3 linked regions of the Drosophila melanogaster genome follow. The protein of the gene in region 1 interacts with the protein of each later gene in a pairwise test. Each region holds a gene or a part of one and is shown in the gene's direction. Other genes may lie near its edges.

Region 1 (11,087 bases):
TTTGCAATAAATCGAATTTCCGCGATAAAATAATCCGTTTTTTGAACACAACTCAAAAAATAATTGTCTGAATATGGAATGTCATACACCGCTGTGCTCGTATTTAAATTCCCAATCGAACTGTATTCACAAATGGAAATTCCATTTTTTTCAGATTTTTTGCAAATTTTGATGATGTTACCCCTTACAAAAATGCAAAAATTCACCCAAAAATTTTTTTCCCAAAATCTGTCAATAAGTGACAGGGATCTTTAGCATTGATAATTGGCTGCTCAAAGCATTAACTCTTTCATCTTTTTTAGCATTTTTAGTCAAGTTATGACGAAAAATACATTCGTAAAAATGTAATTTTGCAAATCACCGATTTTCTGTCATAAAATAATTAGTCTTTTTTCCATAACTTTCAAAATAATTGTCTAAACATGGAGTGCCATACCTAGTTTAGCTCGTTATTAATTTCCCAATCAAACTACATTTTAAAATAAGAACTCTATTTTTTGCAAATTTGACGACAATGCATGCAAAAATTTACCCATAACTGAATTCTTTTGAATCCGCTAAAAAGGGAAAAAATTCTCTTACGTTGATTATTGGATATTAAAATCAGTCAGTTACTTAACTTTATTATTACATTTGGCCAAGTAACGATGAATAACCCCTTTGAACTTTTACCGGAAATCGTTGTCCTTATTTTCCATCCAAAGTATGTGTGCAGAAAGTGGCCCCAATAAATTATAATGGTATTATTTATAAATAAAGTGGATGTTTTTACTGCACAAGCAATCCATCTAAATATAATCCCCAGTTTATGCAATCACTTGCTGTTAAAATCTCGTTGAAAACATTGTGTAATTGGCTGCCGTTGGTCTGACTTCCCGCTCAGGATTTTTTGATTCCAGACTAATGACCCAATTCGCGCTGCTCTCCCATTAACAACAATCGCCACTTTTGTTTGCGCCAACTCATGGATTTAATTATTTACAGCTCTGTGCAGCGGTTTCTCATTTATTTTTATTTTTCGGCCAATCACTTCGATCAAAGCCAGACAGTCTAAATTTAGGCAACAGCTGCCAGAAGGCCTGACTGATTGATATCCGCCAAGTCATGGTGTTAAAGAGTTGTGGGTAATATTCTTGTTTTTCGATGTCACTGAATACCAAAATGTTGTTTGAAAAAATATGGAAAAAACCCCTGAGTTAACCTGATCAATATCACGTACTTTTCTTTTGGTTTTTGTTTTTATTTTTGAGGGCAAAAAGTTAACCAGGCAGCTCCGATAAATCATGACACTACAGAGTCGCCATTTCATAGCACTACTGCCGGACCACGCCCCGTAACCCACCGCCGCCCCTGTCTAGCCAAAACTTTTTAATTTTATCTCTTCTCTTTTTTTTCGGTGGGCCACCACGTTCGGTTTGCCAATCAACTGAAAATGACGGCCAAAACCAAAAGCCGCCGCAGCCACAGAATTGTTAACATGTTAACTTGGCTTAAATGCATTATGATATTTTTGCCTTTCATACCAAGCACATAGACACACACACACACCCTTGCATTTCCCTGCCGGAATTCGCAAAGCGGTTGAGTGGATAATGGTGAACTTTATGAGCTCATTGCCTGCCGAAAGTCCAACATCAGCATCTTCCCGAATGTATTTAAACTATTTGTGAATTTGCGGATTTATAACTATTTGACCATGAGTTTAAAGTCCATTTTGAACAACAAAATCGGAAAAGTTGAGTTGAAGTACTCTAGAAGGTTCATTAATATATTTTCCAGTTTTTATACTATATAAGTTAATAAATATTTGGATTAATATCTGGTCTACCCCCTACTTTCACTAATCAACAAAGATTATTTGTTGGCTTGCAGAGCATTTAAAATTCGCCATCATCGATTGAATCGTGGCCCAATCTCCCAATGTGACAGCTTCCTTTTCACGCCAGAAATCAAGTTGTCTGCTTGCATTTGGGACACTTTGTATCTCTTATTATTTGAACACTCGGACAACCACTCGTACTTAATATTAGTAATTGTTTGCAATTAGTCACCGACGGAGGCTGAGAAACTGAGACAAAAACGCCGAGAGACTTTGGCAATCGCTAATTTATGCAAGGCTCAGACTCGGCGTTTTTTTTTTTTGTGTGTTTACTGGGAACGTGGAACGTGACGATTGATACGACTACAATCCGGGTCAGAGTCCGAATCGTAGATCATCATCCCGTTCAGGGTCTCGTCGGCACAGCTATTTGCCGGATTACTCATAAAATCGAAGAATTAAGTCCCTGTAATGGTCCGAAAACGCTGGCAATTAAATCAAATCCAAAGAGTACCAAGAAAACGAAGCACAAAAACTGTAGACCAACCTTGTTATTGTCTATGGGCTGCCATTAAAACTGAAACTGAAACAGCAACAGGCAACAAGAAACAAGAAACAAACACCGAACAATGGCAGTGACTTCGGCGATGTCTTTACATTTAATTGCACCATTGGGCACACGGCAAAGTGAACTGTCAGTAATCTGCACAATATACCCCTCAAAAGCCCCATAGACCCCCCCTCCCCATCTATCAGTGTAGCCCCCGATTGCCACTCCAATGGATCGCTTCGTCTGCAAGTCGCTCGATTTAAAGCCATGTCAACGTCGCCAGAATTAATTGATGCGCCATGAATTGCCGTTCAATGGCAGGGACAATGGGCTCCGCCACTTTGGCCCTCTTGTATACCAAGTATAGTCGCTTTCCAGGGCCGATGAGGGTCCCCAAAGAAGTCGGAACATTTGGCAGAGGTATTCAAATTCTGCATATATGTTAACTTCGAGTTTGCATGCGAATTAAAAGAGGACCAAAATGGCCAGAGTAATTTTACTTTATTATTTCACTAAGCGTACTAAGTCGGATTTATTGCTCAAATATCTATTAGAATACAAAATATGCAATTCAACTTACTTTTCCTGGAAAAAAAAGTGTGTAAATTAAGACTTAAAACTGCAATTCAACAGAACCTTAAGTAGTTAAGAACTTCTGGCTTAGTCTCGTGCTGAGCAGTTGCCCCTTTTGGTGTTCGGGTTCAAATAGAACATCTTATGCAAATTGCGAACGCCCATATGGGCGTGGCAAAGTCGCAAAAACAACAAGAAGAGCTAGACAATAGAGTCTGAAGTCCGGCCATTAAAGCTAATTTCGTTGTCATTTTCGATTTGGCAGCTTTTGCTTTTCGCAAAAGCGAACGACCCAGGCCACTGAGACTAATTTCATAATTTTCGTATATTCGTATATTCGTATATTTTCGTATTTTTTTGTGTTTATGCAAAACGCTGTCGCTGTATGTGTGTCAAAATCTAATTCACCTTAAACTGATTTCGAACGCATGCAACTTTTAGTGAGTTAGTTTAGTGAGTCTCACTAGTCGACCGACCGACTGACTGATTTTGGCTCGCCTGCCTTCGCATTTGCTATTGCTTTGCTTTGCTTTAGCTATATTTGTTACTCTTGCTTTTGCAATCGGCAAGATACAGTATCTCCAGTTGAGCTCCAGTTGGGCTCGGTACCAAGCGGCGTATGCGTAATTTGTAGCCTGCCATGCATGTCTGCCTGCACTTCCACACTTTTGCGCCAGTTGGTCGTTAACCCAGGGCAACGCCAGCCAAAAAAAAAAAAAAACTAAACAAAAGCCGCCTACCGGTTACCGGTTATCCTTCAGAGCGGCGACAGTCCGCCGCCGAAGGTAATGCGGTTGCCCAGTCCAAAAAAAAAAATAAAAAATGGAAAATCATATATAAAAACCAAATAAAAGAGCGATGCTCGAACCAATAATCAAATCGAAGTAAATCGAATCCAATGGAAACGATTCGAATCGAGTCGCATTGAGCACTAGCTTCCGGTTCACACTGCCAGCACAGTGGTCTCTATATTAAAAAAATAATACAAATAATCATACCTGGTAGACTAGTTTATGTCTAATATAATAAAAACTGGCAGAGGAAATTAGGCATAACAACTAAAATGGCAAAATATTCATATATGCAATTTTCTAGTATACGCAATAAGCAATTAATTTTTTAAGTCTTGTAACCCATTCCTCTACTGTTTTAAGATACCAAAAGTGTCGCAGAATTCGTAGCATCCTTAGCCAGGCCTCACTGTAGCCTAGGAGCTGAAATTCCATTCACTTGCGTGCTGAAAACTATCAAAAATGTCGTCCACAGCCGACTGGCTGCTGTCAGTTCTGATTCTACAGAAGGTCATATGAACGCTACATCTTCATCTCCACCGTGATTATGGCCACAACAACGATCATTATCACCATGATCGATCATTCAAGAACAACGCATAACTGTCGCTAACCACAGATCGGCGACATTGTCTTGCGGTTGGTCAGTATTCGATTTTGAGTTTCTTTATTTTTTTTTTTTCCTTCGCGCTTTTGTGGCTGGCCGAAGGTTTCTGCTTCTGATTATTATCGAGTGGCTTTTGGCCAAAGTGCATGGCCAGCATGACAGTGCGGAAATTTTGTGGCCAACCTTTTGGGCCCAGTTAGACCCTCGAAGCGCTAAGTGGTGGAACACTTCATAGAATTTTGTGGACCAAAGACCAAGTTCAGTGAACTTAATTGAACCCTTAAAGCGCTTGAAACATTGACAGGAGTTGAACAAATTTTTAGTTAACAATAATAATAATATAATATTTCTATAATATGAAAAGTATGTGTTTAAAAATGGCAGTTATATGTGCTTAAAGTTATTTTCAGCAGAACTATTGTACAGTGTCTGGGAAAATAAATACATTAAATTGTCAATGCTTAAACTTCAGCGTTTTATACATTTTAAAATACATATTCTTCCCCATTAGCATTTAAATAAGACATTAAAGGTATGTTTTGTTTCCCCAACTGAACTTTATTTCTTTATCATAGAAACTAGCAATGTTTTAAGAACTCATACATTTTAAGTACCTCTAAATAGTAACTCGAAATATTCTGAATAGTGGTGCGGCGATGTCACGACTTCCATTAACCCCACGACTTGGCTGGCAATTTTCATAAAATTTTCCATTTCAAGCCAAAGACATCTGTTGCTTTATTTGTTTTCTGCCTAACTTTCGGAATGCGGAATGGTAATGGGCACTGCAATCAAATCGAATCAAATTGAAGTGTCCGATTGTAGCGACTGGCAATATCGATAAATGCAACTCCAACGATTATTTGGTATCGCAGGGAAGCGGCAATAAAAATGCATCTTCAAGATGCGCAGCTGCACAGGAGGTTGTGTAAGCCACTAAACTAAAAATACGAAAAAAAAAGTAAAAGAAAAAAATAAGTAAAAATAAAAATAAAAAGGCGAAAATAAAACTGGCTCTAATCCTGGCCACGGCCCACTGACAAACTGAGCCAGCTGATGGAGATTGACAAACTGACAAACTGAAGCTGGCACTCACGAGGCGGAAACTTTTCGCGTAATCGTCTTGTCGAAAAAATGGGAAAAATACAAAAGATACAACAAATACAAAAAACAAACAGCAGGAGTTACTCGTAAAAAATAAAAATGAAAACGAGTAAAAATAATAATGAAACGCCAGTGGAAACCACTCAAAAAGCCTGGTCAAGCTCACGAGCGACTCAAGCTTGACTTTTGGCGCTCACTTTCGTTTTCGTTTCGAGCGGAACTCGAGCGGCTCGACTTGGACTTGAGGCGGCTCAAGCGGTACGGAGGCGGTACGGCGGGCGTTTTTTCAGAGGCGCCGCTGCCAACGCCGCTGCCGGCGTACACGGCGCGCTTTGTCTCGAGCTTTAGTCGCTTGTGTGTGATAAAATCACGTTAGTAATCAATTGCAGGCCCAACAGCCCAGACCACAAAGAGAAGCAGTCGCAGTCAGTCGCACCACCGATCCACGATCCACTGATCCACCGATCCACGCAATTGTTGCTGTTTCTTTTTTAGACAAAAAAGAAATATATATAATTTTTTTTTGGGCTGTTTACATTTTGGCCAAAACGCGTATGTATCCCCACCAACAACAATGTGATGTGCTAAAAAATAAAAATCGCAAAGAACAAACTATATTCGCGAGGATATAACACAAAAAGTAAACCACCAAAACTCGGATTGAAAAAACCTTAAACAAAAACATTATATTATATTTTTTTCCAATTTTTTTTGCTGTGCTTAACAATTTTTAAAGAACACTTGGCTTGTGAACAATAATACGAAATAACTGAAAGTAACCAAAAAAAAAAAAAAAAAAGAAAAAAACACACCGAAAAAATCACAAAAACATATAAATACCTGACGCGTGTGCTGAACTATTTTCGGTTTTGTCTCATTTCTCATTTGCTGCATTCATTTACCTTGCTTGGATTGCCCAATTAATGCGAGTTGGTTAACACAAAAACGTTTTTGATTGCCAATTTCCAAATTGCGTTTCGAGAGGTTTCGTGTGCAGTGCTGAAATCGATTGGCGAGGGGCTTTATTTGGCGGGTACTTAAGTGGAACAGATATCTTCAGGGAGAATATTGACAAGCCGGTTGAATATTATTCTTATATCTGTAGAAAATAAGATGCTTATTAAAATATGGGGACTTCAAAAAATTTGTCTTCGAGTTTTCCAGAATTTATTTGGAATTTTTCTTATTTAACCCCCCACTCCAAACAGTAGAATAAATAAACTTATTTAGAATTTTCTGAGCTACCCTCTTTAGATAGTTTTTGGAAAATAAGCTACTAGGAACTACCAAAGTTTCACACTCCCCTGTGAAAATATCACGCATACGCACCGTTTCCCTGAACCCAAACTTCGCAAGGGCGAATTTTAATTGCAAACTGTGAGACACAGGAAGTGCACTACTTCAGTTTTTTTTCTTTTTTTGTTTTTTTGAAAACACCCAGTCACTTGGCTTAAATTATATTTCGAAATCCCTCATATATCCGAAATCCCACTCAAGCCTTGATTATCGCTGTTGTGTTTTGGGGGCTTTGCCTTTTAATTACGACATGTCCATGCCGAAGCATGCACTCAATGCCAGATGCGGATTTTTCGTTTTTATGAGTTTTATGATATTTGTGCAATTGCCAGTGAGTCGTAATCATAAAAGCCCCAAGTTCCGTATGCAAAAATACAAAAAATAAACCGAATGGTAGATGTCAAGTCACGTTGTTGATCACTGATCACTTTTCGGACAATTGTTAGAAGCAAATGGATCAGCTCAGGGCAAGCGAGTGAAAGAGAGGGAGAGAAAGAGTGTGAAAGAGATAGAGAGAGAGATAGAGAGAGAGCGAGAGAGAAAGAGAAAGAGAAGGAGAGCTTGAAAGTAAAAGCAACAGGCCCAAAGATGACATAACATCTGGTGGAGCTCTGTTGTTGCCGGTTTTCACTCTTTCTCTTTTGCTTTTCTGTTGTGGTCGCCTTCGTCGGATTTTTTTTTGGATTTTGGCGCTTACGCCCTACTTTAACAGCCAGCAGACTTCGGGCCAAGTTAAGACGGGCCAGCAATGAAGAAGAAGAAGACGATGGCGATGACGATGACGATGACCGGACCATCAGCGTTGCATGTTCGCCTCGAGGTGGCAATCCCCAGTTTTGAAGTTCCCCCTTTCTCGACGCTTTTGTATTGCCAAATTGCTGGTGTGATTGCCTGATTGACAGCAAAACAAAAACATAACAGCAGCAAAGGCGGCCAAAACAAAACGGCCCAAAATACGCTTTCAAGTTCATTTCTTGCATGCCTCAGCCGAAGATGACTTAACGTCTTGAGCATTCGGAGTTTCCCCGAATACATTTATTATGATTTTTTAAATGGGTGTTGCCGAGTTTTAGGTTATATAGTTTTGCCACTAAATTTGCAGATGTTTTTGCATGTTCTTTATAAATATGCTGCTTGTTATATTTCTCATATTAATATAATGGTTTATCATAACTAGCATGATCGAAATGGAATTAGATGGGATTTGTTTAACTTTTTATAGTGTTTTCCAAAGAAATAGAGCTTAAGTTCCCTAATCCCAGGGGTGATTCATTTTATTAGGCAGTACAATTGAGAACCTTGTTTTGCTTTTACCGATTATAATTGACTTAGTATTTACCTGTTGGCGACGTATTTCCATCTGTTATTCAACTTTTCACCAGCTGATCTCCAATTGGCAAAGCCTTAACCTTTGAGCTCGCAATGTCATCTCACATTCGTGTCAAAGTCTAATAAGGCAATCAGCGATTCTAATTTACGGTTTCCCTTACTATGTACTTAGTTTCTCTCATTAGGTTCGCGATGACTCATAATTTTGCATAGCTGTTGACCAAAGAAATTATACCCCTCGCGCTCTCCACGCCGCTGCCTTTCTTCAATTAGAGCTTCGAGATTGGTTTGTTTTTAATGCAGTTTCTCACATTTTTGTGTGTAATTACGACTGATGCCTTGCTTTTCGCACCTGTGTGCTTCCCTCCCTCTCTAACGCTATCTTTCCCTCTCTCTCTCTCTCTCCCTCTTTCACTGGGCCTTATTCAATTTCTTTTTTAACAAAAGCCCAGCTTTAAAAAGCTTTGGCCGTAGAAATTGCACAAAAAATAAAACAGACACACAAATACTGGTTGCTGCTGCTGCTGGCCAAATATAAAAAGTTGAAAAAAAAAAAATTACATAATTTTTTTTGTTGTGATTTAAAAATTGCTCGCCGTTGCAGCACACTAATACTGCTGGCATTACTCATACGCCGAGTTGCCCAAGAAATGTCCAATATTTAAACTTGACCAAACCACCGCCATAGTTGGCCATTGGCCATTGGCCATCGCCTATTGACAGTTATCGTTAGCATCCGCATCGTTTCGAAGACCTTGGTGGCCAGAGAATAGCCAGCAAGCCAAACAAACGGTTGGAAAAAAAAAAAAGATTAACCAAAACCACAGACTCGAAATCAAACAAGATGTTCGTTTTTTATTCGGCTTCGATTCCGTTTTATTTATCTTATATATATATATATATATTTCCGATTTCAAAGGTGTAAGAAACGCGCGCGATAACAGAAGGTCACCGCCCGCTGACCTTTATGCATAGTTTGTTGCCATCTTTGGTCTCTGCATTATCATTAATTAGCATGTTATCTCGTTCCAGCACACCCACACACTCCCACGTCCCGCTCACACACACACAAACACACACGCGCACGCGACAAAAACAGCATGAGGCAGCCAAGTAGACAGCACATCCTGGCGCTCCTGATCCTCGGCAGCGCCGCCTGCCTCATCAGCGCCGTACCGCTACCGCAGCCCGCCAACGGTAATTCCGAGCTGGACGTCCTCCAAATCCCGCTTGCCAATGGCAAGGTGAGTCCATCATAATTCTTAACACTTTTGTGGTTATATTCTGAATGAGCTCAATGCGTTTGATAGCCTTAAATTGGTATATTTTCGGGTTTAAAATCTCTGAATTACGATCATGCATTAACAAATTTTCTGCTCGTGCTAAAATTCATAATAAAGCTATCAATTTATTTAGAGAAGCTTAATACAGAATAAATATTTACCTTGCTGAGTGTATCAAGAAAGTGATAAAGTAGCCAAAAATCAAACAAGCGAGTGTGTAAAACAAATATTATTCAAAGCTTTCATAGACTCTTTTCTCAGGCAGGGGTGGTTTCAAAATAAACAACAAGGTCGTTTGACTATTTATTTATGAAATCGTAAAAGATCTATTAAACATGGACATGCTGTAATAAAACAATTGAAGACCATAAACCTAATTGGTCAAGTGCTCAAGTTAATGGCAAATGTGCTGGAACTCTTGAAGCGACTCTCGCTAGCATTCAGTTGGCGCAGAGTAGCAGCGCGTGCTGCCGCCTCAGTTGCCCTTTCGACCATATTTGCTTGACAAATTTGCACTTGGATTGGGCTGCTTTTTTTTACGGAAGGGGGAGGAAGCGGCCAAACATGTTTGTCGCCCAGTCGGCGAAAACTTCCTTTTACTTTTCGGTTTTGGTTTTGGTTTTTGGCTATGCGGCTTTTGGCCTGGCCAATTCGGGTCTCGGGGTCTCTGGGCCCGTCCAACCTGCGTGACTGGATCAGAGCTGCGATCTCTTGGAGAGCAGACCAGTACCAGTTCCAAGGAAGTTGGCACACTTGGTACCTGTTTCCTTAGCTGCCGATTGCCTATGCATTTTTTTTTTTTTTTTGATGTGTTGAGCCTCAGCTGGGTGTTGGCCTGGCCAAAAAAAAAACCGGACTCTTTGCCAGTTGAGTTGAGCAAGCCCCTGCAGCTCTGCTATTTTATTACTTAATTGCCGAGCGGCGAGATAGTTCCCCACAAATTCCCATTCGTATTCGTAGTATTCCCATACCCATGCCATTCGATCATCGTTGGGGATCATTGTATCACTGTGTCGGCAATTAGCACCCCGTACACCCAGCCCCCTGCTAATTTGTTAGCCGAAACTATTCGTCCAGAGAGCTGGCCAGTTTTTAGCATTGTTTTATGTCATATTATGGCTTTCACTTTGTGCAACAAATTTGCACAAATCTCCGAAATCGTTGAAAACTCCACATGGCCCAAAGGCTGTGTGGCAACAACAAAAAGATCAAAAATATATGAATATAATCAACGTCGCAATATTTGTCAATCAAAGCTGGCGTGCAATTACTTTTATGTGCATGTGAAAACCATAAATAAAACTTGCAAGTTCGTTTTTCCTGGTATAAAGTAGTATTGTTGATCCTGGTATTTAAATATTACAGAACTGAAAGGAAGCATTAGCAAATAAATGGCCACTTAACAAGTTAATTAAATTTGTTTTTTGTGTTTTTTTTTTATTTGTGAAACCAAAAGCGGTTATGCACAAAAGCCGTTTTTAAGAAGTAGCAATTGGTATTTATCTTAAGTGGGAGCTAAAAACTATATTGTATAGCAATGTATTTACGCAACAGCAGTGATATATTTAAATAATAGTTCTTAAACTTTACCATAAAATAATATGCAAATGATATGCTAAAAGCTGCCCATTACGTGCCTATCTTTTTTAACGAGAGACCATTTAAACGGCTTACTAAATTGCTTAACAAAGTATGAGGAAACTTTAAGCTGTGATACCATGCACCACTAAATATA
Region 2 (9,976 bases), on another chromosome or scaffold:
TCACTGCTTAAACTATAGCGCTAACGTTCGGATCCATAATGTCAGAAAAAAATACCCATACCGATCCTGAATGGCTCACAAAGGAATATGTGGAGTATAAGTTATGCAGATATTTTGAAGACGACTCTCTACAGTTGAAGAAACTAGAGACTGAGCCGGCTACATCAAAAGGAGATAATTACGCCAGTGTGATGACCCGCATCAATCTGGAGTACAGCACAAAGGATTCAAAGGACACTCAGAGCGCTACTTTCCTACTGAAAACCACCTTTGCCGCCAAGGATCCGGCAGCCAATATACTGGCCGGCTACGGGGTTTCCATCAGAGAAATGGACATGTACCAACAACAACCAACCTGGCCAGAATGGTGAGGGGCGAGCTCGAGGATTCCCGAAAGATGTTTGCAGCTACCGTCAATGTAGATCGCGAGCGGGACTCAATCCTTTTTGAGGACCTGTCGTTGGAGGACTACAAAGTCGCTTGCCGGCTTAAAAAACTGGATTTGGAGCACACACATCTGGTCCTGGAGAAACTGGCTGATTTCCATGCAGCTGCAGCAGTTCTTGCCGAGCGAAAGCCTGGAATCTTTGAGAAGAACTACGATCGAGGATTCTTTAACAAACATTTTCGAGGCTTTCAGCCAATCTTTAGGAACCTACTACAGGCTCTATCTCGCTCCCTGGAGCTGAATTTGTATTTAAACGATCGTTATCAGAGCAAGATAGACCGGCTAGTGGATACAATAATGGATTACGGCGATCGATCGACATTGACCAATCCAGGAGATTTCCTAACCCTAGCCCACGGGGATCTTTAGACAACAAATGTGATGTTTCAGTACGACGAACAGGGTCATCCCATCAATGCCGTCCTAATTGATTTTCAGTTCAGTGTGTGGAACTCTCCGGCCATCGATTTGCACTACTTCTTCTCCACTTCGATCCAGGACCATCTTCGCTGGAAACATCAGCCTGAATTGGTCCAGTTTTATTACTACAGGCTGGTGGAATCTCTGAAGAAACTACAGTATTCGCGTCGTATTCCGAGCTTATTTGAATTTCAACTGCAGTTTAGGGCTAGATCTTTCTATGGTAAGTATATGCAAGTTATAGTGAAAATAAATTTTAATTTAAGAAATTCTTTTAGCTGTTTTCTGCTCACTGATTTCCGAGCCCTGCATGCTTTACACCGGAACTGAGGAAGCGTCTATTGCACAAGGATTGTCCACTGCCGCCAGTGGAGTCCGGTTCAGAGATTCTGTGTATCATGCTGACCACATCCGAGAAAAAATGCTACTCACTCTGCCGTTTCTGGATCAGCAGGGGTTGTTAGACGATATGTGAAGTTTTATTTTTTTTACTTATAAGTTGGTCTAGCTAGTTAGCCTAGCTGAACAACAGTCGCTATTCTATGATCTTTCACACAGTGCAGAGCCCTATCCTAATAAATTTTTTCAGATGTGCTGTCGCCTATCTTTTCAATTGCCGGCAATTAAGGAGCTTACGACTCATGAGATACGCTCTGTGCCGTCTCATCTAATCATGAGCATCTCGTCAGTGTATAAAAGCCATGCCCACCTCTGACGAAAGCTAGTAGAATTTCAACATTATGCCGGAGAAAACGACCCACAATGCGCCCGCGTGGCTGACAGAGGAGTACGTGGAGAAAAAGTTAAGAGTCTACTTTAAGAATGACACCTTGAATCTGAAGAAACTGACGATCAAGCCGGCGACAGCGAATGGAGAGAACTACGCCAGCGTGATGACCCGCATCAGTGTGGAGTACATTACGAAGGATTCAAAGGATAACCAGTCCGCAACCTTTCTGCTGAAGACGACCTTCGCCGACAAAGACCCGGCGGCCCATTTGCTCATCAACTACGGCATTTACACCAGGGAGATCGACATGTACGAGCAGATACTGCCCCGATTGGCGGATATAGTGAAGAATGAGCTCCACGATTCTCGGAAGCTGTTTGCAGCTACTGTGGGTGTAGATCGTGAGCGGGACTCGATTATGTTCGAGGACCTTTCGCTGGAGAGGTATAAGGTTGCGTGCAGGGTGAAGAAACTGGATCTGGAGCACACTTATCTGGTTCTTGAGAAACTGGCAGATTTCCATGCAGCGGGGGCAGCTCTGGCTCAGCGGCAACCGGGAATCTTTGAAAAGAACTACGACCGTGGATTCTTTAACAAACATGTACGAGGCTACGAGCCCATCATGAAAAATATCCTTAAGGCCTTGTCGCGTACCCTCGATTTGAGTCCGGATCTAAAGGAGCGATACCAGGCGAAGATTGACAGGTTAATTGATAATGTAATGGACTACGGCGAAAGATCGACATCTGTCGCTCCCGGCGATTTTGTGACTCTGGCCCATGGAGATATTTGGACAACCAATGTCATGTTCCAGTACGATGACGAAGGTCATCCAGTTAATGCCATCTTCATTGATTTCCAGTTCAGCGTTTGGAATTCTCCGGCCATCGATCTGCAATACTTTTTCTCAACCTCGATCCACGAAAACCTTCGTCTGGAGCGTCAGACCGAGCTGGTCCAGTTCTACTTCTATAAACTAGTGGTGGCTCTAGAAAGGGTGAAATATTCGGGTAAGGTTCCGAGTTTATTTGAGTTCCAACAGCAGTTTCGGACCAAAGGTTTTTATGGTAAGTTTGCGAAGTATATAAAATGTTATACAATTTTTAATTTCTTTATTTTACTCAGCTGTGTTTGCGTCGTTGATTTTTGAGCCCACTATGGTCTACAATGGCAAGGAGGAGCCGTCCATAGAGCAGTTCATGACCAGCGATGAGAAGGGCGTGCGACTGAGGGATGCAGTGTATCAGACGGAGGAGAACCTAAAAAAGTTGCACCTGACTCTGCCGTTCCTTGATCAACTGGGCTTACTAGACGAAATGTAAGAAAATGCTCCACACAATAAATAAATGCTCCTTATCAGTATAAGTCAATTAATCAAATTATCACTGCTATCTACCTAGAAATTTAGCTTAAAAATAGTTTCGTTATTTTTAGCAATTAATTGTTTAGAAATTTCTAGTAGTTCGCTGGCATCAAATGGATATGTATGTAATAAGCTCAATGACGATTTCTAATAGCTAATTCAAATGGTTGAATTGAAAGATAACAGGAATGTCAGATAGAATGATAGATAAGACTTGAATAATAAATGTGTACTTACCTAACCGACGAGGTATAAAAGCGGAACCCCACCGATGAAAAATCCGCAGTGTTGATCACCAGGAAATCAATAGAAGCGCACAAGTGGTGCCCGCTTGGCTCACTCGCGACTATGTGGAGCAGAAGCTGCGTTCCTACTTTAGAAATGACTCCCTCCGCCTGGTGAACCTGGACATCAAGCTGGCCCTTGGCAACGGGGAGAACTACTCAAGCGTGATAACTCGCATCTATGTGGAGTATACGACGGATAAATCAAAGGATAAACAATCCACCAGATTCCACCAGATTTGCCGACGCAGGTCCGGCGGCGCAGGTTCTCCTGAGCTACGGAGTGTACAACAGGGAATTGGATCTGTATGAGCGCATCCTGCCCCAGATGGCGGAAGTGGTGCGAAATGAGCTGGCAGATTCCCGGAAACTATTTGCAGGCACTGTTTATGTTGATCGGAAACGGGACTCGATCATCTTCGAGGATATGTCCCTGGAGAATTACAGAGTGGCCGATCGGCTCAAGAAACTGGATCTGGAGCACACTCATCTGGTACTCGAGAAGCTGGCCAATTTCCATGCTGCCGGAGCAGCCTTGGCTGAGCGCCAGCCTGGAATCTTTGCGAAGAATTTCGATCGTGGATTCTTTAACCAGCATACCCGCGGCTACGAGCCCATCATGAAGAATCTTTTGATGGCTTTGTCCCGATCCCTGGAGCTGGAGCCGGATCTGTGTCAGCGTTACCAGGCAAAGATCGATCGACTGGTGGAGAACGTAATGGAGTACGGAGAACGATCGACGACCATTGTTCCCGGTGACTTTTTGACCCTGGCTCACGGGGATCTCTGGACCACCAATATTATGTTCCAATACGACGACAAAGGACATCCCATAAATGCCATCTTTATCGACTTTCAGTTCAGTGCTTGGAACTCGCCGGCCATCGATCTACACTACTTCTTTTCAACGGCCTTGCAGGCTGATATTCGACTGAAGAAACAGCCAGAGCTGGTCCAGTTCTACTATTACAAACTGAATGCTGCCTTGAAGAAAGTCCAGTATTCCGGAAATGTTCCGAGCCTATTCGTCTTCCATCAGCAGTTCAGGAACAGATCCTTCTATGGTGGGTATACTAACGTGCCTGGTTAAGGAATTTATATTCATTTATGTTATCATTCAGCTGCCTTCGCATCACTGATCTTTGAACCAACGATGACGTACACGGGCAAGGAAGAGGCATCAATGGATCAGATAATATCCCTTTCGGAGAAGGGAATGCGCTTTAAGGATGACGCATTTCAGGCGGAGGAGACCAGGAAAAAGATGCGTCTCACTTTGCCCTTTCTTGATCATTTGGGTTTACTAGACGTGATGTAAAGCGAAAATAGTAATATTATTATCGTAATTATAGATTTTATATTTGCTTATAAAATATAATAAATACAAAATAATTTCGATTACTTTCCCTGCTATTACTAACTTTTATTAATTGTGTATGCACTTATGAATGACAATTCACAGGTGCTAATTGTAGGTAAATGTTTAGAAAACATGAAAACGGGACAAAATCCGTATTAAAAAGTTTTCTAATTGTTTTTGTTGATATTGACATTAAAATTAGCTACAGACGACGATACGGGGGAATTCTTGGAAAAACTATCAAGGCAACCCACTAAATTAATTCACTTACTTTTTACGATATTCGATAACAAACAATAAAAAATATTAAGTTGTATTTCTCTTCTTTGGGAAATGTAAAACAAAATGAATTAATTATAAATTTGTTGCGATGAATCTGTATATGGTGATAAGTTGCGAAATTTTGGTTACCAGGAATACTTAATAAAAAGTGCATTGCAAAAAACGTGAGCGTTCGACCAGACTCGAAATTGTTCAAGTGTTGTTTGTCCATGACGAAGCCAGTTGCCACGAGATACTTGCACTAAACTTATCATATATACACTAAAGTTGGCTATAAAAGTGGTCGGACTCCGTTCGCAATGTCGCAGAAGCGAAAGCCCTGAGTTACGGATAGGATCATGACTGAGAAATCTACCCACAAAGTTCACCCAGCGCCAGTTTGGCTCACCTCGGAATATGTGCAGGATAAGTTGCGCACCTACTTCAAGGATAGCTCACTGAAGCTGGCGACGTTGGATACAAAGCCAGCCGTGGCCAATGGAGGAAACTACGGCAGCGTGATGACCCGCATCAATGTGGAGTACACGACCAAGGTATCGAAAGGGAAACAGTCCACCACATTTCTGGTTAAGACCACATTCGCTGACCGGGATCCAGCCGGCGATGTGCTCATCCACTATGGTGTCTACACCCGTGAAATGGATATATACGAGCACATCCTTCCCCAGCTGGCGGATATGGTGAGGAAGGAGCTTAAAGACTCCAGGAAGCTCTTTGCGGCCACCATGAATGTGGACCGCGAAAGGGACTCGATCATCTTCGAGGACATGTCACTGGATCATTACAAGGTTGCATGCCGTCGAAAGAAGCTGGACCTAGAACACACCCACCTGGTACTGGAGAAACTGGCCCTCTTTCATGCAGCTTCATCAGTTCTCGCCGAGCGACAGCCGGGTATCTTCGACAAGAACTATGATCGTGGCTTTTTCAACAAACACACCCGGGCATACGCCCCGATCATGACCAATCTTCTGGAGGCTCTGTCCCGCTCCCTTGCTTCGGATGAGGAGTTGGGACAGCGGTACAAGGCCAAGATCGACAGGCTTGTGGAACGTTTGATGGACTATGGCGAAAGATCGACGACTAGTAGTCCTGGCGACTTTTTAACTCTGGCCCATGGAGATCTTTGGACCACCAACTTTATGTTCCAGTACGATGCAAAAGAGCATCCCACGAATGCCATCTTCATTGACTTCCAGTTCAGCGTGTGGAACTCGCCGGCCATCGATCTCCACTACTTCTTCTCCACCTCGTTGCAGGATAATCTTCGCTTGGAACATCAAACAGAATTGGTTCAGTTTTATTACTATAGGCTGACGGAGGCCCTAAGGAAGTTAAAATATGCTGGTCGGATACCCAGCTTGTTCGACTTCCAACTGCAGTTCCGCTCGAGAGGATTCTATGGTGGGTACAGTTCTTAACTCTCTTTCAAAATAGTTTTTTAAATAATTTATCCGCAGCCGTATTCTGTTCCTTGATTTTTGAGCCTGTCATGCAGTACGAGGGCAAAGAGGATGCTTCTATTGAGCAGGTCCTATCCAGTTCCGAGAGTGGAATGCGATTCAAGAACTCAGTTTATGAATCGGAAAATATAAAAAAGAAATTAAGTGTCACACTGCCTTTTCTGGATCAGTTTGGATTGCTGGATGACATGTAATGATAATCTTGAACTTGTGTAAATAGTTAAAATAAATAAAAGTTTAAGTACTACTACGTATTGGCTCAACTACGTCGTTGCTTTTAATTTCCTGGGAAAATACTTATCTAATAGCTTGATTGCACTTTATGTGTGTAATTCGGCAATAACTGACCTTTTTATATGAAATACAGTGTTCATGACTGATAATAGCGCTTTCGAGTTTATTTCGGCAAGATAGTGCTAAACTCTTGACAAACAAAAGGTGCAAGCAATACTAAAAATCTCAGAAGATAACAATTACAAGCCCTTGAATCGTGGTGAAATAGAAACAATCGCGATACGCCAAAAGATAAGCCGCAGATGTTTTAGCTAATAAAAGAAACTAATATTTACCTACAACAAATAAATACGAATACGAATGTATTTAACAAGTCAAGGTGTACTACTGAGGAAAAAACTTGTAAGTGAATTGTTGCGTCCCCCTTATAACTCATACGCACCGTTGGCCCGCTTATCGTTTGCTTTAAAACGTCACATTTAATATAGTTTTATGAATACAAACATTTACAATAGAACCATTGTGTGTTCTATTTCTAATCTTATTGCTTACCAACTTGCAATAAAAATGAACTGCTTTTCATATGGTTTTAACTTCAAAATAAAATTTGTTTTTATTTTTTATCAAATACTCGTAGTATATGATGGCTTCCATTCAGTCAATTACGTCTAGTAGACCACTCCGATCGAAGCGTGGCAGCTCGCGTTTGAGATTGTCCTGCAACCTCTTGTTGGTGTACAATACCTTCCGGAAGTTACGGCCTCGTTCGTCATCCTTCATCAAAGCATTAAAGTCGGCATCGGCGTTTTGGTCATTGGTCAATATGGCCTGGCAGACCAGAGCGACTGTGACAGCTGTTAGATACAATAATATAAACAATTATAATGGGTTTTTGAAAATCATTCCAGATGGGACTCACCAAAGAATCTGCCCCTTTCGAGCTGCAGGACGAACTGCCTCAATGTGGGAATGTAGCCACCAAAGTTGAGATCCTTAAGCGTTTCCACGAGCACCGTGTGATAATACTGAAACAGGGCATCCTGCTGTTCGTAGCGAATATCGACCTGCACCGAAGTGTTGAAGAAGTAGTGCAGATCCACCGCCGGCGAGGACCAACTGCAGAATTGGAAGTCGATGAGAGTCATGTCCAGTGGCTCCTTATTTTCGCCGTAGCGCAACATCACATTGTTCACCCAGTAGTCACCGTGCACCAATGTATTAAAATCTCCCGGTTGGGGATCGTAAACTCTTGTGGAGTACTCCATTACACGTTCCTGCAGCTTCTTCAATTTGGTAGCATACCGCTCACCCAATTCGGGACACTCCCTGGCAAAGTCAGCCGCCACGCCCACCGTATTCACAAAGAAGGGTGCAAAGGCCTGGGTGTGGCGATTGAAGATGCCGTGATCGAACTTGGTCAGCAATCCGGGTTGACGTTCGTTCAGAACAGCAGCGGCCGCATGCATCTTGGCCAGCTTTCGGAGTCCCAAGCGGGTGTGCTCCAGATCGAAACCAACCAGACGATCGGCCAGGACATATTTCGTCACCGCAAGGTCCTCAAAGATGATGGCCTCGTGCTCGTAGTCCACATGCAATGTCTTGGCGAAAACCTTTTCCGGCTGGCGAGTCTTCTCGATGAGCGAGCTCAATTGGGGCAGGATCTTCTCGTACATACGCATTTCCGTGGTGCTAACCTGGTACTGGGAAAATATTCCAGAGGCGAAGGCATCGTTCTCATAGGTGGTCTTCACAATATAGTATTCAGTCTCGGGGCTTTTGGCGCCACTTTTCAAGAACAAAATCCGCACGCGTGTCATCACACTAGCATAATTGTCACCCTTGGCAGTGGCGGGCTTGATCACCAAATCGGTGATCCTCAGTCCCGGATCATTCTTCAAATCCCGGAGCAGTCGCTCCAAGTAGGTTTCATCTAGCCACTCTGGCGCCGGATGAAATTCGGTAGCGTCTTCCTTGCCCTGCTCCACCATGATGATGCTCGACTTGTGTTCTGGATCACTTGGTCCAGTCGAAGGCCCCATTTATAGGCAGCCGGAAGACGCAATCTCGCCGACAACAGATCCCACATTATGGTAGCCGTAAAGCAAGCTGGCTCAGACAATTACGTAGCTGCTGCCCGTGGATTTCGATTCATACGACAGAGATTCGTGAGTATCTAAAGCTGACTAGATAGAAGCAGATCTCGGAGCGCGACACTTGACAGGGTGAGATAACACCCCCACATCTCGCAAATCGGTGCACGTTCCTATATATGATGTAAGTGTGCCCGCCGTAATTCATGCCGAATGGTGCTGACGTGGCGTCTAAAGATCGCTCTCGTGCTCGCGTCAAACTAATCTACTTCACAGCCCATAAATCCATCTGCCGTCCATCCATTTGCATAGTTGAGCCGGATAGTTAAGCTATTTACAGACTTACAATGGTTTCGTTTTTTATTTCCTAGTATTTAACGTTCTACGTATTTATAATAATCAGTCGGAAACTTTGAATTTCACAAGGATTTTCGAAACAGAATAGCCCAGAAGGAAAATAGTTAAACAAGTTTTCAAGTGCCAAGATAATGGGTAGAGGAGATAAGATTTCCCCTGCATACTTTCAGGTGTAGCCGATAACAATCTTGAATGTACATTTGTATATATGTCGGGTCTTCCTTTATCTAGCAACAGAATTTTTATTTTCATCTGTTCGAGGATTTACGATCTGTTTATTTTCAAGAGGAGCTTTGAATACGGCACTGCCTACTTTTGAGCGAATACCTTTTCTGTTTTCCTGCTGAATGTATTCTGTAACATACCTTCCAACTTGAGAATTTCTTTGATGGTCAACTTATTAGGTACGCATATCCGTTTTCTTTCTTTTCTCATTAATAAATTAAAAATTGTGATATTGTCAATTGGAGATAATGCACCTAAATAAATAAAAAACGATCCATTACATATGTCAGATTCAAAACATGTCTTACATATTCTCTTTAATTTTTTTTAGGAACGATACATTATTTTGCTTTTTGATTTTATACCAAAAATTATTATGACCCACTTATGAGAACACAAGTGTTATTCTTATCTCAATGTTTTAAAAATAGCTTATACGACATGTTGGCCATTTTATGTCTCAGATCAAAAATGTCCCAACCGTATTGCACTAGTCCCTTGAATTTTGGAAAGTCAAATATCCCATAACAGAGATAAACATTTAATTTAAAATGAGATTGTTTATTATTATTTAAACTTATAGACATAAAACGTGGAAGCCCAATAAAACATATCCTAATAATCTCTTAACAGGTCTGGTTAACTTCCAGCAGTCCCTTTCTATCGAAGAAGGGAACCAGGGAATGTAAATTTTGTTGAACTGTAGGGTTGTTATATAAT
Region 3 (11,374 bases), 1.1 Mb from region 1:
AGATCCGAGTAAAATTTGTTAAATTTATTGTAGAGAAAGCGCGCAAATGTCGTAAGTGTGTGATTCCATACAAATAAACAATGTACTCTAGGTTTTTTAATATAAAAATGAACGAAGATTAACCGAACGGACTTCAGTTGTGCGCTAAACTTTGCAAACGTCGGGCCAAATTCTGTCCGCCGATCTCAGTTCTTTCGAATAGCAAATTTTCACAAATGGAGTCAATTAGCAGCATGATTTATTTAGTGGCCATGATGTCATTGATCATCGGTGGCAGCCAAGCGATTCCTTATCGACGTACGATTTTTCCAAATAACACATATATTTTCCAGTAATATACGTTGATTTTCCCTTTCACCCTATAGCCTCGGCGTATCTGTACAATCAGCAGTACTGTATGGATACATTGACGGGTCGGCAGCTTTATATCGGTGAAGTCTTCACGCGAGAGGATCAGTGCGTCCGCATCCAATGCCTGGAAACGCTGCAACTCTGGGAGGATAGGTAAGCGTGCCGTACTAGTATGCCATAGCATCGGGTAACAGATCATCGTACTCATCCATGGTCCAGCTGCCAGGTGCCGAAACTGACGCAGGGCAATTGCACGCCAGTTCCATCGACGAACCCGCATGCCGAATATCCCCGATGCTGCCCACTGTATGAGTGCAAGAGCTACGAGTCGAATTCGGGGGGAACTCTGGAGCAGACCAACATATATGACCACTATGGTACTCTGCGATCATCCCATCTCACTGAGATGATAGTGATCGACGGGCGGACACCCCCTCGTGGCGAGATTCACACGGCGTCGGCGAGGAAGTATCAGGTGTGAGAAGTGAACTGGTACTCTGTTCCTAGGACTACTTAGTCTTTAGTGCAGATCTAATGTGTACAAATACAAATGGAGTTTATTGCGGAATACTTGAATATGTTAAATAAATTTAAATTTCACATTTTTTTTGTCTAAAGAAGTGTATTTTTTCCACTGTACTCGCTATTCAAACTTGGCGCCCTATCGATAGCATTGCTTAGCTTATCAAATAAATTATCTCAGACAACGGGCTACGATTTGAATTCCTTACTTCAGGATCGTTGAGTTTATATTTCTATTTATTTTCTCGGGATTTTCAATATTATATTTTAGCATAATATCGATATTAGCGGTATTTGTGGCCGTCTGCGATAGGCATTTAGTTATCACGTAGCCAGACATCGAATAACGATTGCACCACTTATCGATAATAAAGCACAAGAGACAGTAAAATATTTAACAATTTCTACGAATCAACAAATTATAAAGCCGCAGTGAGCAATTAAAATCAGTTGGAAGAAACGCTAGTGCCCCACATAGGAATCCGAATCAAGCAGCACTTACCGAAGGACAACCAATTGCCCTCTAACCGAATTTCACCACAACAACACAATGTTGCTGCGTCTAGCACTTTCCACCGCCCGTCCAGCCGGGGCTATCAAGATCCTGGCCCAGTCTCCGGCCCAGCTGTTCCGGGCCAATGCCAATCCCAATCTGAATCTCTCCACGGTGCGCACCTACGCCCGCAGGGTGGTTCGCACCCGTGAGCCCGTCGAAGAGATGCGTGCTCCCTCGCTGAAGGAGAAACTGATGGGTCCGCCAAGTGCCAATGGTAAGTCTCTTGTGTAATCCCCCATCTATGTATATCGGTCGTCTAATTGTACTCTTCTGGCGTGCAGCATACTCCATGGGCAAGGGCGCTGCCGCCGGAGCAGCCGCCGTGGGATTGGGCGCCCTGTGCTACTACGGCGTGGGATTGGGAAAACAAACCAGCATCGCGGATAATGCCATGTGAGTGATAGCACGAGTCTCTCACTTGCGAAATACAGGGACTTTAATAACTGAGATTATATTTTCCGTTTAGCATGTGGCCCCAGTTTGTGCGCGATCGTATCCAGAGCACCTATGCCTTTTTCGGTGGCTCTTGCGTTCTCACCGCGGCCGCAGCAGCAGCCACCTTCCGTTCGCACCGTCTCCTGGAGCTGGCCTCGCGTGGCGGCATCTTGGTGAGTCCTCTTGCACAATTCGTAGTTCTTGCCGCCTACCTGACCAACAGACACAACAGAACATAACACTTCCTCTTCATTTGCCTTTAATCGCTTAGGCGACCATTGCTTCGCTGGCGCTGGTCATTGGTAGTGGAGCAGTTGCCCGCTCGATTGAGTACCAGCCGGGTCTGGGAGCCAAGCATCTGGCCTGGGCGGTGCACTGCGCCATTCTGGGCGCCGTGATCGCACCCATTTGCTTCATGGGCGGACCGATTTTGACGCGCGCCGCTCTCTACACGGGCGGCATTGTTGGTGGCTTGTCCACGATCGCCGCGTGTGCACCCAGCGATAAGTTCCTCTACATGGGCGGCCCACTGGCCATTGGCTTGGGCGTGGTGTTCGCCTCCTCGCTGGCATCCATGTGGCTGCCGCCCACCACGGCGCTGGGCGCAGGTGAGTTGCCAGAAAGTTCCACTGGGGCTAGCACCACTTCGCATTATATTTTATGAATTGTCAAGCGGAGTTAACCCATTCAACTCTCTTTTCGCAGGTCTGGCCTCCATGTCCCTATATGGCGGCCTCGTCCTCTTCAGTGGCTTCCTGCTCTATGACACTCAGCGCATGGTCCGTCGCGCTGAGGTCTATCCCCAGTACAGCTACACTCCCTACGATCCAATCAACGCGTAAGTTCACTCCTCATCCATACCGTGCTCTGAAACTCTATACTTTTTGGTTCTATCTTTTAGCTCAATGTCGATCTACATGGACGTGCTGAACATATTCATCCGCATCGTTACCATTCTGAGTGGTGGTCAGCGCAGGAAGTGAGCACTGGAGACGAACATGTGATGCGAGGATTATACCCTCTAAAATATACATACATATTTATACTGTTATTAAAATAAACCGATCGAGTTAGGAAGCAAAATGTACGAACTTTGTGTTTCAATTTGGCTAATTTCAATTAGTGTCTTAATACACTCCAGACCTAGAAATTAAATAATATATTGTCCATATATTATATACAATCTCTAAAAAGAAAGCATTTTTTAAGATCAATTTAAAATGTTAGTCAATTTTAAGCTTGATAGCGATAAATGTAGCTAGCTTTTAACCGATATTTATAGCAGTTGGGTTCGTTGTTATCGATAGCTTAATTACTTTTATTACGGATCGTTTGCCGTATTACCTAATTAGTTAGAAATTTACCTCGTGCAATATTTGTTATTGGTCGTACAGAAGCTCTGTTTTTTTTTTTTTAATTCAAAAACCGATGGCAAAGTGAAATTGGGCTCTAGGGATGTATCGATATGCAATCGATGTTTCATTCAGCTTTTTTCGACAGGACCTAAGCATTCCTGTCAAGAATTGTTTAAATATTTCGAGTCGAGCCGGTCGACAGTTCGAAAATAAGTTCTCCCGCAGAAGCGCCAAGATTCCGGATTTTAGGTGGCTGTGAGAAAAACACCCACGCCGACTTTCCACTTCATAGACACACTTGACAAACATTCTCGTCCCTGCAAACACACACAACTCGTATTTCGGTGATAATACAACAAAAGTTAGCCAAATACTGCATATATTTAATTTTCTGGTCAATCCGCAGCTTCGTCCCATTGCCAGAAGGTGCTCGACGAAGTCACGACTGCCATTTCCACCTGAGACAGGTGAGTGTTTGAGGAGGAGGAGGTGGTGGCTGCCAGACGCCCGACCGCGCCCTTAAAGCCGGCAAATCGATTTCCTAACTTGCACTCACCACATACCGCATGTTTGCACGATTTCAGCTGGTGCCATTGCAAGTCGTCCAGTGGAAGAGGCAGACGTCAAGCAGACCGGCCAACTGACCATCGATCCTGGCCAGGAGTTTGCCATGGAACGCCGCTACCTGAAGAATCCCTTTCCCGATTTCGCCGGCGGGGAGAATACACCTTTCGCCAGCGACGAGGAGCACATCAAAAATCTGATTTGCACCTATGTGGACGCCATACTGGAGCACTGTCATCCGAACAGCGATGATGAGGACAATCGCGGTGATCTGTATGTGGGCAATGCCGGCATAGCCTTCATGTTCTGGAAGCTCAACAGCTGCGAGCAGACACGCGATCTCTATCCGGCACTGGATCACGCGGCCTCCTTCATCCGCAATGCCAAGGTGAATGCCAATCGGTACAAGAAGCGCTCCGCCGAGCGCTACTCCTTTCTGTGCGGCAATGCTGGTATCTATGCCGTCTCGGCAGCCATATCGCAGGCGCTCAAGGAGACCGAGGAGCTTTCCGACGACTTGGCCAACTTCAAGTCGGGCATCCCGTGCAGCAAGGAGTTCATGCACACCAAATACGGCTGCGATGAGGTGCTGGTTGGACGTGCCGGCTATCTATCCGGTTGCTATTGGCTAAACGATGTACTGCCGGAGAAGAAGATCACCGACGATGACCTGGTATCCATATGCCAGCTAATCGTGACCAGCGGCCGCGAGTACAGCAAGCAGAACAACTCGCCGTGTCCGCTAATGTACCAATACCATGGCACGGAGTACCTGGGTGCGGCCCATGGCCTGTGCGCCATTCTGCACATGCTGTTGGACAGCCCGTGGTTCCGCACGCTTCCCATTTCGGCGCCGGCCGCCGAGTTGCGCGACATCAAGCGCTCGATTGACTTCTTTCTGGAGCTGCAGGACAGCGATGGCAACTTTCCGGTGGCCCTGGAGGATCTGCGCTCCGGCAGGGATAAGCGTCTGGTGCACTGGTGCCATGGGGCACCCGGCGCCGTTTATGTGCTGGCCAAGGCCTATCTGATCTTCAAGGAGGAGAAGTACTTGGCCTCGCTGCGTCGCTGTGCGGATATGGTGTGGAAGAAGGGCTTCCTGCGCAAGGGACCGGGCATCTGCCATGGCGTCGCCGGCAATGGCTATGTCTTCCTGCTCCTGTTCCGCCTGACCAACGAGATGAGGTACCTGTACAGGGCGCACAAGTTTATGGAGCTGCTAACCAATGCCGAGTTCAAGCTGCGCGCCCGCACACCGGATCGTCCGCATAGCTTGTACGAGGGTGTGGCCGGCACCGTTTGCTACCTCGTGGATCTGCTCGAGCCGGAGCAGGCCTACTTTCCGTTCATGGATGTCTTTCACTAAACCCGTAGGCGGCGACCCACTCCACCTATTCAGCCCGACCAATGCTCAACACAACATACTTTCGAATCAGGGAGAGTTATCATCATTTCTAGTCACTTGTTTGCCGATTTTTCTCTCATTGTTGCCTTTGCGTTCACCCAGCGAACTGGGACGTTGGAGTGAAAGATGGAGAAGGATGCTAGGTGCTGCATAGATCCCAGGTCCCGATGGAGCCCGTATCCGATCTCTGAGCGCACCGCTTGCTGGAATGTTCTCAGTCATTCTCATATCAAAATTCTCTGTGCTTTACGCTAAGCAATTAACTTAATACATTGATACTTATACACAGACATATTACATATACATTATATTTATATACAATTTATAGTATATGTGTATATATATATATATACACTTCATATAATACATATATATATATACATATACATACTTGCGCTGACATCTTATATACAGACAAACATAATACTTACATGCATAGTGTGCTTTATACCTACGAGTAATCCACGACGAGCTCTCAATCTATTTGTCAATGAGAATGAAATAAATTATTGTACTATTTTATACGGATATGTACAATCCCGTGACCAGTTTCGATCCATCCCACCACGGCAATCGAATCCATGGTCATACGGGTAAATACCCCAAAAAAAATGACTCTTATTCAGATCCTTTGGCATGGTTAAGGTAAAGGAGGGAATCTATATATTATATATTTACTTTCAGGAACCTATAGCTTACCGATTCCTTGTACGGATTATTGCCAAGTTGCGGTTTTATTTATATTTGATTCACTATCTGCATTATCTTAAGTACTTTGGCTGATGTAAAAGCACGCTTATCGGATAGAAATTGATTGAAATCTGGTTTATTAGCGTCTTATAAACCTGATACGAATGAATATACATCTAATGGATTGCCTTGTGGCATTAAAGTAAGTTCCAATAATATGCGAATATTTCTAGGATAACGTATGTTAAGGGTCCGTATCGAGTGTAATCTAAACTAAACCTTGTAGTTCGCTAAAAAGGGAGGTTCCATCTACTTGTAATTTAACTAATTCGCTTTTGGCGCTATAAACCAAATTGATTGCCTGTTTATTACATGGCTGTGCGATGGCTGTCCAGATCCCACGCCCATATATATATTTTATTTTGGCCCAGAACGTAATAAACGATCGCTTGTAGGAGGAGGGTCACTCCACTCCACTTCATACCATACATCAAGTGCCGTGCATGTGTAACATGTGTCAGCAGTTGAGTATCACCGGAATAGCGACCGTCGTATCCGTTTGGCCATATCTCAGCCATACTGGCTTATCGGCGATCTATAGGTGCATATCATTAAGTGTGTTTTGATACCCAAGCAAGTGCCAGCAGTAAGGGGATATTTGTAGTCTATCCAGTTTGCTGGCCACTTGACAAAGAAAACGGGCAACGAGGCGTATGAGTAATGTGCACAAAACTCACATTGCAAACAAATTCCTCATTGTTTTGATTTGCTTAAAACAAAATCTTTTCAACTTGAAATTGCGGCTATCTTTCTTTATTACCATACCAAATGTTTTATCTAAACCGACTAAACCTGATTTGGTACACTGTAGTCAGGATACTAAAGTGTGCTACAGTGCAAAAAAACTTTGTAATTTAAAGAGGAAATTGTAAATAAAATCAATTCAAAGCTTATATTGTAAATTAGAAATAAAATTTTTGGTTTACCAGGAAAATCGAATTTTCAAGCATTAAAATATAAGTTATTGCCCTGCAATTGATTCTCTAACATCTTGTGGTTCCACATAGTCTCCGCTGCCATCAACGCCAACGAACGGTTAAGCGCGACATCGACACTTCTGCGCTGCGCCGCGGCCGACGCCTGCTGCGCCGCTGCCGACGACTTCACTTGATTGCTAGGGACTTAGGGAAACATTTTGTACGCTAGATTTAGTTTCAAATGATAAATTGCAATAAACGGTCGCTTGCGATCTTCAAAATCAAATCGATAACTGTAATTATTAACTGGCGCCCGAACAGGGACCAGCGAATAAACGCGAACGAAAGACAAAATTCTAAGTCGCGGAGCAAAATCAAAATTTTGCTAAAAAATATTCGTTGGTTAAATTGTGCCGAAGAAACTCCCGCGAGTTATTAACAAACAAAATTCACGGTCGGCTATAAAATAAAATTGTTTGAGAAAAAAACAGATTTTCCGGAAGAGGAAAATACTTATCGGCATAGCATTGCCCATTGGTGGATCACAGTTTCTGTCAGGCCAGCCCGCAGAAAACCTTCTTTGGAGTGCTGACGTGGATTCCCCAGTAGCCCAGGCAAAAAGGACAACATTCACCCAGCCAGGAGGAGTGACCGCAACAATTCTATGTTAAATAAATGCAAAACGAAGAACAGCAATTTCATCGAAAAGGAGAAGGAAAAGTAGAAGTAGAACGCCGAGAATAACGGAACTACAGAAGAGCAACACGGATAACAGTTAACAGTGCAACCCAAAACGTAACGGCAGAGGTAAAGACGACGAACGGCAGAGAACGGCTGCGTGAACCAAAGTGCAGACAAGAAGGAAAAAAAAAGAACAACAACAGCACAGCCGTAGCAGCAGCAGCAGCCCGCCAAAAAGAACAGGAATAAGAACACGTTGACGACGAAGAAGCTGAAGCTGAAACAACCGAAGAGGAGGCAGAGAGACTACAAGAACCTGGAAAGTACACTGGAAAAAACATCAGCAATTTGAAATTCAGGCATCCACCCATAATAAAACATAAGTATACCAAAAAAAAAAAAAAAAAAAAAAATTTTAAGTATATTATTATTATTATATTATTATTATAATATTATTATTATTATTATATTTTTATTATTATATTATTAGTATTATATTATTATTATTATATTATTATTATTATATTATTATTATTACATTATTATTATTATATTACTATTATTATTTTATTATTATTATTGATATTATTATTAATACTATATTTTCAACCCAGTTCCTAGAGATCTTCTGAAAGGAAAATTTTCCTATTTACTGTTCCTTTCTGGTACACTGTTCTCAAAGCAAAATAACCGCGGTGAGCTAAAATTTATTGCATGCAAAAATAAAAAAAAAAAAATATAAAAATAAAAAATAAAAAAACAAAAACAAAAGATAAATAAGCAAACACATACACACGCATTCCATATTTTCTGCCCACAACTTTTGTTAAGTTCAAATTGGTTTAGGCTTGTTTTGTGCAGGTGTTGTCCGAATTAAAAATCAGTATGGCAAATCCTAATAATATAATAAGACCATCAGCTTTTAGTTCAAACGAAAGACCGGTGCCCTCAGAAAGACACGACCTGCCTGAACAGCATCGCGTAGACATGAGTGTCGAACAGTTGACAGCATTAATTGGCCAAACGGTGGCCCAAGTTTTACCTGGATTGATAAAACAAATGAACAACAATACTCTTGACTTTACTGACGTGAGCGACCAGGTCGTCGAGCCCGAATACAGAAATAATTTAGCGGACTTTGACAGGGTGCCTGATATCGTAAAATCGATCAGGGAATTCTCTGGAAATCCAGCAGAATTCGGGTCTTGGAAAAAGAGCGTTGATAGAATCATGGAGACTTATACCCCATTTGTGGGTACTCCAAAATATTATGGTATACTTCATACCATAAGAAATAAAATTGTTGGAAGTGCTGATGTGGCACTCGAGTCCTACAGCATTCCGCTGGACTGGAAGGCCATGTCGAGATGTCTCACTCTGCATTACGCAGATAAACGGGACATAACTACCTTGGAATACCAAATGTCAACTTTGGTTCAAGGCCACCAGCAGTCGGTGGAAGACTTCCACCAAGACGTCTACAAAAATCTGTCGCTTATTCTAAATAAAGTCGGCTGCATGCAAATGAGCCGAGAATCCGAGCACTTTGTTACAAAAATGTACAGAGAAAAAGCTCTGGATACTTTTATCAGAGGCCTTCGAGGAGATTTACCTCGCCTTTTGGCAATAAAAGAGCCAGCTGATCTCCCCTCAGCTTTACATTATTGCCTTAAACTTGAAAATCAAACTTTCAGGTCAAACCATGCGGCGAATAAGGGTCAACAGTCGAGTTTCAGAGGAAACGAAAAACCCATTCCGGCACCCCGCAATTTTCAGCCGTCGAATGCCTTTGGCCATCGACAGCCTCCACCGGTCCCTCCACGACATCCCATGAGGAGACCTCCACAATATTTAGGCCAGCCATTCCCGGCGCCAAGGCAACACGTGTCTAACTTCGGTAATGCACCGTTCATTCCACCCCGACAAAACTATCAACAGCAATGGCAACAATACAATGCCCCACCCCGTCCCTTTGCGACCAAACCACAACCAAGACCAGAACCAATGGACGTGGACGGCAGTGTACAGACGCGAAACATTAATTATATGAATAGACCACACTCGGACATAAACAAACGACAAAAGAACTACAACATCCAAACAGTGAACATGAGACAGCCAAGTATTGAAGTAACTGGGTCCAGTTCAAGCATGACAGGCTATCAACGGTCGATGCAAGATTATGAAACCCAGAACAATATAAACGGCACACTAAATGAATACTGTGATGGACAAATAGACAATTTGGACAGCGAACAACGAGACCACGTGTTGCATTTTTTAGAGTAGAAGACTCCTCACTACCATACTTCGAATGTAGAGTGGGGAGTGGAAAGGTTTTAAGGGTGTTGATTGACACAGGCTCTAATAAAAATTACATCCGGCCCAATTTGGTGACGAACGCGATACCAAATAACAAGCCTTACATAGCTGATACTCCAGGCGGTGATGTAAAAATATCGCATTACAAAAGAGCAAGCCTTTTCGATTTCGAAATAAAATTTTTTTTGTTACCAACGCTGAAGACTTTTGACGCCATACTTGGCAAAGACACAATGAAGGGAATGGGAGCGCAAATTGATTTGAAGAACCTAACCATGACACTGGAAAACGGGAAAAGAGTTGTTCTCAAAGAAAAACAGTTCGAGGCTGTTAGCACAATTAGTCCGAGAATAAAACAGAGAATGATATTGAATAAAATAATTGATTCGTATCCAGGTCTCTTCGCAGACCCGAATCAAAAACTAACCTACACAACAAGTGTAAGGGCAGCAATCCGAACTATATCGGATACGCCAATATACTCAAAATTCTATCAGTACCCAATGTCTCTTAAAGACGAGGTACACAAACAAATTTCCGAACTTTTACACGATGGAATCATTCGACCCTCAAGGTCACCTTACAATTCACCAGTGTGGATTGTACCAAAAAAACTCGACTCCTCTGGCAAGAAAAAATACAGGGTGGTAATTGACTATCGAAAACTTAACATGGTAACGGTAGCGGACAGATACCCTATCCCTGACATTAATGAAGTGTTGGCCCAATTGGGAGACAACAAGATTTTCTCAGTGCTCGATCTGAAAAGTGGGTTTCATCAGATTCTTTTAAAGGAATCTGATATCGAAAAGACCGCCTTCTCCATCAATAATGGAAAATATGAGTTTACACGACTCCCATTCGGTCTGAAAAATGCACCGTCAATTTTCCAGCGCGCACTGGACGATATTCTTCACGAACATATCGGTAAGATATGTTTCATTTATATTGACGACATCATCATCTTTAGTAAAGATGATGAAACACATTACCAGAACCTTGACACTATTTTCAGAACTCTTCAGCAAGCCAACATGAAATGTCAGTTGGATAAATGCGAGTTCATGAAGAGAAAAGTGGAGTTCCTAGGCTTCGTCGTGTCCGACAAGGGCATTGAAACCAGCCCAACCAAGGTACAGGCAATCTCAGACTTTCCAATTCCAAGGACACTCAAAGAACTGAGATCATTCTTGGGATTATCCGGATATTACAGGCGATTTATTCCTAACTACGCTAAGTTAGCAAAACCACTTAGCTCGCTTTTGAGAGGGGAGGATGGTCGAATTTCCAGGACATTATCGTCAAAAAAATCCGTCTCCCTTAATCGCGAAGCAATAGAAGCCTTCAAGAAATTGAAGAGCAGCTTGGTTTCTCCAGACGTAATACTCCACTACCCGGACTTTAAGAAAGAATTTCACCTAACAACGGATGCTTCCAATTTCGCAGTAGGTGCTGTTCTTTCACAAGAGAACAGACCCATCTCATTTTTATCGAGAACACTCTCGAAGGCGGAAGA

Evidence for each region.
Region 2: the proteins of CG32694 (region 1) and CG11878 interact in a two-hybrid assay, tested with the Drosophila melanogaster proteins (one large-scale study listed by BioGRID).
Region 3: the proteins of CG32694 (region 1) and CG2061 interact in a two-hybrid assay, tested with the Drosophila melanogaster proteins (one large-scale study listed by BioGRID).

The regions. Positions count from the first base shown.
Region 1 is NC_004354.4:9,983,877-9,994,963, forward strand, and holds the start of CG32694 (uncharacterized protein), read left to right. Parts: upstream 1-5,818; 5' UTR 5,819-5,996; exon of another isoform or gene 5,997-6,084; intron 6,085-9,101; 5' UTR 9,102-9,169; coding exon 9,170-9,313; intron 9,314-11,087.
Region 2 is NT_033777.3:25,268,623-25,278,598, forward strand, and holds CG11878 (uncharacterized protein), read left to right. Parts: upstream 1-5,214; 5' UTR 5,215-5,225; coding exon 5,226-6,291; intron 6,292-6,347; coding exon 6,348-6,544; 3' UTR 6,545-6,615; downstream 6,616-9,976. Other genes in the region: CG11889 (uncharacterized protein), read left to right, coding at 1,609-2,665, 2,724-2,920; CG10513 (uncharacterized protein), read right to left, coding at 7,239-7,438, 7,504-8,572; CG10514 (uncharacterized protein), read right to left, coding at 9,883-9,976.
Region 3 is NC_004354.4:11,089,156-11,100,529, forward strand, and holds CG2061 (uncharacterized protein), read left to right. Parts: upstream 1-3,336; 5' UTR 3,337-3,468; exon of another isoform or gene 3,469-3,625; 5' UTR 3,626-3,686; exon of another isoform or gene 3,687-3,803; 5' UTR 3,804-3,889; coding exon 3,890-5,149; 3' UTR 5,150-5,792; downstream 5,793-11,374. Other genes in the region: vago, read left to right, coding at 216-297, 366-504, 571-832; CG2076 (uncharacterized protein), read left to right, coding at 1,424-1,643, 1,711-1,822, 1,896-2,037, 2,136-2,472, 2,570-2,702, 2,766-2,847.